2 linked regions of the Coturnix japonica genome follow. The protein of the gene in region 1 purifies or fractionates together with the protein of each later gene. This does not show direct contact. Links are inferred from orthologs where the notes say so. Each region holds a gene or a part of one and is shown on either strand. Other genes may lie near its edges.

The links.
Region 2: the proteins of PIM1 (region 1) and EDC3 purify together in Homo sapiens (affinity purification with mass spectrometry; 3 studies listed by BioGRID and IntAct, counting the BioPlex papers as one, with this or other methods). This does not show direct contact. The link is inferred for Coturnix japonica from reciprocal best matches to the Homo sapiens genes PIM1 and EDC3.

What each region holds. Positions count from the first base shown.
Region 1 is NC_029541.1:611,802-615,550, forward strand, and holds the start of PIM1 (serine/threonine-protein kinase pim-1), read right to left. Parts: upstream 2,395-3,749; 5' UTR 2,183-2,394; coding exon 2,101-2,182; intron 2,019-2,100; coding exon 1,912-2,018; intron 1,829-1,911; coding exon 1,778-1,828; intron 1,311-1,777; coding exon 944-1,310; intron 340-943; coding exon 163-339; intron 1-162. UniProt on the Homo sapiens protein: Proto-oncogene with serine/threonine kinase activity involved in cell survival and cell proliferation and thus providing a selective advantage in tumorigenesis.
Region 2 is NC_029525.1:1,790,094-1,793,028, reverse strand, and holds part of EDC3 (enhancer of mRNA-decapping protein 3), read right to left. Parts: intron 2,074-2,935; coding exon 1,739-2,073; 3' UTR 1-1,738. UniProt on the Homo sapiens protein: Binds single-stranded RNA. Involved in the process of mRNA degradation and in the positive regulation of mRNA decapping. May play a role in spermiogenesis and oogenesis.

The DNA of each region.
Region 1 (3,749 bases):
GGACGCAAAGCAGCAGTCAGCGTGAGCAGGGGGCACTCAGCACTGCACCCAAAACCCCCACCCACCACACATTGGTGGACTGCAGGGCACAGAGACACACCACCCCCTTCAGCTCCCCAGTGGATGATGTGAACCCCTCACTGCTCTCAATCCAGTGCCCACCTGGAGAGACCCTCTGCCTGAAGTACACCTGGCCACGCAGAATGTCCTCGTCGTGCTCGAAGGGGATGTCCCCACACACCATGTCATACAGCAGCACACCCAGGGACCACACAGTGGCTGAGCGCCCGTGGTACCGATGGTAGCGGATCCACTCTGGCGGGCTGTAGACTCGCGTGCCTGCAGGAGAACAGCGGCTTATGTCCCGTGGGGGCGGGTGAGGACGGCGGGGAGAGGGGGTCACCAGGCGTCACACCACCCCCAGCAGCACGTGACTCTTGTTTACAAACTTTGGGTTGTAAAATAAAGGCAGTGGGGCCGGAAGGTGGCAGCACGGGGTCGGGGAAGGCCGGGAGCCAAGCGTTACATGCAAAAAATAAAACTCCCGAGGGAGGAGTGGGGGGGGGGAAACAACCACACCTTGTGCCCACCCCTCTGCCAAAAGAGAAACGAAATCAATTTAAAAACGACTGTATAAAAATCAAACAAGGGGAACGGAGCCGTCCTTCTGGGCTGCACACCATGCTTTGCAACCTCTCCCCCCCACCACCACCACCATCCAACCCAACCCACCCCAGGAGCTGTTTGTTTTTGTCGGCTGCCCTCCCCCAGCCCCAGCCCGCAGCGTTGGTTGGGTGCTCACACCGGGAGCCGGCTCCCATTTCACAACACCCTGAGGTGCCAAACACTCTGCGGGCAGCTGAATAATGCCACATCTCCACCCCCCTCACCCCCCCATTTTGCTGCATGCAGGGGGACGCCTCGGCGCACGGCAATGTCTCACCATCAAAATCGGTGTAGACGGTGTCCTTGAGGAGGGCACCGGAGCCGAAGTCGATGAGTTTGAGCTCTCCGGTGGCGAGGTCGATGAGGATGTTCTCGTCCTTGATGTCGCGGTGCAGCACGCCGCGGTCATGGCAGTGCTGCACGGCCTCCAGCACCTGGCGGAACAGCTCCCGCGCCAGCTCCTCCGCCAGGGCCCCCCGCTCCGTGATGAAGTCGAAGAGATCCTGCACCGGTTCTGGCCTCTCCAGCACCAGCACGAAGCTGTCCGGACGTTCAAACCAATCGAGGAGGCGGATGATGCCGCGGAAATCCGTGCCCACCTTCTTCAGCAGTAGGATCTCCATCGGCACGCGCGTGCCGCTGGGCTGCGGGGACACCGGTGCTGTCAGCGCCAGGTCCTTTGGTGCGTCCCCGAAAGCCGGGGATGCTCCCTGCCCCATCCCCCGGCTGGATAAATCCAATCAGCCCCAGCCCGAGCTGCTCCAGTGCCCCCAGATCAGCGATATTCCAGTGGCTTCCCCTCTGCATCCCAGAACCAGGGATGCTCTGGACCGCCCCACTCCTACTGTGCATCAAACCAAGGATGCTCCGGATTCCCCCCATCCCACACCCCAGTACAGGGATGGTCTGGATACTTCGCAGTACCTTAAGACAAGGAACGCTCCGACACCCCCCCCAAGCTCCAAAACCAGGGACGCTTCCCAACCCATCCCCCCCAGAACCAGAGATGCTCCATCCTCTCCCCGCACCCCTAACAGGGATACTCCGGCGTTCCGTCCCCCCATCCACACCGCTCTCTCCCCCCTCCCATCCCCCGTTCCCCGGTGCTCACCAGCTCGCCCCACTCGGAGATGCGGTCCCTCGCCACGTGCTTGATGGCCACCTGCGGGGCGATGCGCGGCGCTCAGCGGGGCTGAGCCGGGCCGAACCCCGCCGCCCGCCGCCCGCGGCTCACCCCGCACTTACCGGGGCGCTGTCGGAGAGGCGGATCCCCGAATAGACGGAGCCGAACCCCCCGCTGCCCAGCAGCGGGCCCACCTGGTACAGCTTCTCCAGCGGCTCCTTCTCCTTCCCTGCGGGAGGAGCGCGGCGTCAGCGCTTCCCCGACCCGAGCCCCAGCACCGCACCGCCCCGCACCGCCCCGCGGCTCCTCACCTGCGGGCAGTTTGGCGGCGTGCAGCTCCGCGCCGGGCCCAGAACGAAGATGGGCCAACGAGTTGATTTTGGAAAGCAGCATCCCCGCCGCCGTGCTCCGGCTGCAGCCCCGCCCGAACAAACCCGACCCAGGCGGCTCGGGCAGCCCAGCCCGGCTGGAGGCGGGCGGGGGACGGCGAGCCGAGAGGAGGAGGAGGGGGAGGACGAAGGAGGAGGAGGAGGGAGAAGAGAGAAGGGGCCGGGGGAAGGGGGGGGCGGCGCGGGGCGGGCACGGCGCGACTGCTCCCCGCGCTGCCGGACTCTCGTGTGGCGCGTCAGCCCCGCGCCGGCCGCGGGAGTAGCGAGAGGCGGAGGCGGGGCCGGGGACAGCCGGGGGGCGGGGCCTCCGCTGGGCGCGCCGATCTGACGCCCCGCCCATTCGGCCGCTCCTCAGCCAATAGGGCGCGGCCCGCGCGGCGGAGCGACGGCGGCGGGCAACGACGTGGCGGGAAGGAAAAGGCGCCAAAGGAGCCGGGCGGGGGGCGGCGTCATGGGCGGGGGGAGCGCGGGTGGCGGGAACGTGGGGAGCGGCGTGCAGGGATGGGGGGAGGGGCGGCGGTGCGGAGCACTGTGAGGTCACGCTCACACCGGGGGAGGGGGCTGAGAGAACGAAGGGACCGAGAGCGTCGTGACGGGAACGGGGCTCACGAGGAGCGGCGTGTTGTGCGGGGAGCGGCCGGACGCGGCTGTGAAGGTGACGCCGCCCGTACAGCGCGGGGGGGCAGCGGCTCCACCCGGCCCTGTGCCCCCACCGGCAGCCATTCACACACCCCGTGTGATGCCCCGTGTGACGCCTCGGCCCCGTGCCGGGATGGGCGCTGACAGCGCCGGCGCTTCCCGGCCTTTATGCACAGACACCCCCCACAGCAGCCCTGGCTCTTCATTTCCCCACGTTACTGCAGCCCGGCCGTTCCTGCACCTTTCACTTCATCCGTTCCTACACAACCCCTGGCAAACCGACGCCTGAGCTATTCCCTTTTCTAATACAAGGTTCCCGCTGGAGGCTCTTTGATTAACAGCCTTTCTTTTATCCTTTTCTTTCTTCCTTCCTTTCCCCCCGCAGAAGTCACAGCCTGAAATGCTTCGCCGAGTTCCAGAGATAAGATAAATAAACGCTGGATGGAGGTCTCTGATTACTCACGCTGTTACCACGCGGAGCAAAGAGCTGCGGCCGCTGCTCCAGACGGAGCCCATCTGCACTCGTCGGTCCCGAGGAGTTCCCAGCATCCCACACATATTTGTGGGCTGAATTGTCCAAATTGAATGGGTTTTTACTGGAAGTGCTGGTGAGCACCACGGCTCTTTCAGTGTTTCTTTTCAAAGGGAAACACTCCAGGATGTCGCCCACCCCGCCATGGTGCAGGAGATGCTCGCTGCCTTTTTGGGGCTTAGGGAGGATGCTGAACATCCCTCGAGGGCTGGGAGCACCTCAACCTGCTGGCCTTTTTGTATTGATAAAGTGTGTAGAAATGGGACACGGCGGCCTTCCTCCCTTTTGTTGTTTCTTCTTCTTGTTGTCATGTGGGGGTGATGCAAGCTCGGGGTGGAGCAGGGCTGCTTTTCTCCTGCCCTATTCCCCACCCGAAGCCTGGGCAGGTTCGGGATGGCCG
Region 2 (2,935 bases), on another chromosome or scaffold:
TAGCCCTTACGAAGTGACTATCACTGATGGACCTCAATGCCTTCAGAAGCAGATCCTCTGAGGGAGGCCTGAAGTTTGCTCTCCCCACATCCAGCATCAGATCTAAGCTTCCTGGCAAATTAATTACTCAACTGCTCCCTTTCAACCAGCAAAGTCTTTTACCTCTGCCTCTGATACCCCTCAGCCTCTGCTCTCAGCAGATGAAAGGTAAAAAGAAGCGCCTGATCTGTATATGCAAAGCACACAGGGATCAACATGCGGTGGGCAGGACAAACAGAGATACAGCACAGCTAGAACTGTTCCCACACACAGGGCAGCTGTGCTCATGCTTCAGCCTAACAGAATCCAGCTGCTCTAGAGAAAAGGCACTGTGTGAAGATCTGAAGTCTTCCACAGCTGCTTGAACAGGCTGCATGACAAGTTTAGGATCAGCAGAAGCTTTGAGGGCAGGTAAGGCCCCAAGAGAACAGAGCAAGCAGGAAGGGAGCCAAGGACCCCAGTTTGGCATCTGTCTGGTGTCTCCTGTGTCACCTTAGTCTGGGCACAGAGGGCAGAACTGACCCTCACTCCAGGTCCCCAGTGGGCACAGGGGGACAGACTCCACATCCATTCCCACCTCTGTGTAACCACACAGTAATGCTGTGGCCTACCTGTCACTACTGGGTACGCAGCCCACTGTGACCCAAGGGCACTCTTGAAGGCCAGGGGTTGTTTCTTTCCAGTATACCCAGTACCCAGGTGTGCACAGCCACCCTCACACACAGCCTTTGTGCCCAAAGGGAATGACCAGATGTGTGAACAACCACATGGTGCATGGGAAAGACACTAGAAACACTGTAGGGGGACACATCAACACATCACCTGCACCATACAGCACAGTCAGAGCAACACTACCCTGCTTCACTGTGCTTCCCCCTGTTGAGCCACTCACCGTGCCAGAAATAAAGGGAACAAAGAAACAAACCAAACAAACCAAAACACTCTGGAAAAGTTCTTTACCATAACATAACTCGTTCCCCCGAAACAAACAAACAGCCAAGAGAATACATAAGCAAATAAGGCCTAGCTGAGGACATTGGTGCTCTCGGAGCATGTGCTGCCTGAGAGCTTCTGGCTCCTGATATGAGCTTTCTGATGAGGGAACTCTCTCCTTGAAGGGATGGAGCTACTATTGCCTTCATGAACAAAGAACAGGGAGGGGGAATCCAACAGAACAGAACAAAAATCAAATCCAACCTCCCACTACAACTGCAGGGAAAAAGAAAAAAAGAAAGGTTATTTCTACACAACCCAGGGGAGCTGATCCCACCAGGACAGTTTGCTGGGTCCATCTGCCCAGAAGGATTGGAAATGCATCCCAAGCCTCCACACCACCCATCGCTTGTACCAGAACATTCCCATGCATATCCCTATGCTATATAATCCCCTGGCAGGTTTCAGCAGCAACCGCTGCCATTGCCAGGGGCAGATATCACTTTTCTGCGTGTTCCTTCTCACAATGGCACAAGAGAATGAAAACAGCTTTGCAGTTACATTTGCTTCCTTCTTTCTGTTCCATTTTATGACTTTTTTTTTTTTCTTTTTTAATATAATATTTCTTCTGGAAGGAAACTCACTCCAGAACTTCACATCCTTAAGGCTTGTGATGCCTGTTTACCAGTCAGGTTCCACTGGACAGCTTATTTGACACAACTCCTCCTCTCTTCTTTTCCTTCAGGTCCACGTGGCTGGATGGGCTCTAAGTGGAATGCAAGGGGATGACGAATTTGCAGCCGAAGGGTGAGTGGTAGTTTATTCCCACTTCCTGAAAGACCTTCTGGGGAATGCCAATGTCACAGAGGTACACACGCCCTGCCCTCTCACCCAGGGGCAGGGGTAGCCCCAAGGCCAGCGACCACTTGGCATCAATGCCCTGCTCCATTTCGCTTATGGGAGGGTCTATGCTGAGGACGGGTGCCCGGTTCTGGTTGGCCCAGTCCACAACTGCTTTGTACCAAGGCTGATCTCTCAGAAAGGCATTTTCGTGACAATCCAGGCAGTTGATCACTAGGTCAACAGGGGTATCGGGGAGATCTGAAAGAAACACAAGCACTGTGAGCAGCGAGGAGCAGCCTCAAACCTCAAGCTAAAGCTCAGTGCCCTCCTTCCTCACACTGTGCTGCCTGCAGAGTCTCTTCCATTTTTGTCTCCATTACCCTCAGTCTTTTTCCACACAGTCTGGCCTCACAGGTTATCACTGCTGTATTTCTGCAGAAGACACTGACATCAGTATTTCAAAGCTCTGTAACTCGCTTCAGCAGCCCTCAGATGGCACCACTGAGCTGGCTCTCCAGTCCAGGCAGCTTAGGAAAGCAGGGAACTTCTCCTTCCATTAAAAATGGAGATTTTTCTAATCTGCATGCTGAATAAAAAGCATTTTGTTCTGAAGTACATCTGCTGGACAGCAGTTTGTTTGCTGCAGTGCTGCCTGTTTCACTGAGCTCACTTGGCCTCCTTGTACCCACTGTCTGCTGCATTACCTCCTCACAAAGCATCCAGTTAGAAAGCATCAGTCTTCACACAGGCACATAAGGCCCTGGCACCACAACCACAGTACAACATATTGAGCAGTTTCACATTTGTTACTCCCAAAAGCTTTTAACAAACTAGGTCTTATATCGGTGCTGGTGAAACAACAGAGAGAAACAAGCTCTCTCACAACCAAGTGCTAAGTATCAGCTTATTCTAGAGCACGCTAAGATCTGAGCTCTGACAGCCAGCTCAGCAAGGCTGCATGCATGGTGCGAAACAGCAGTTTGGATGCTCATTTACTAGTAGTTTCAATATGCTGAACAAGGCAGGCCGTTATTCTAAGAGAATGGCTGGTCTGACTCAGCTTCACACAGCAGCTCTTGTGTTTGTTCAGACCGGAAACATCTGTACCAGCACAACTGCT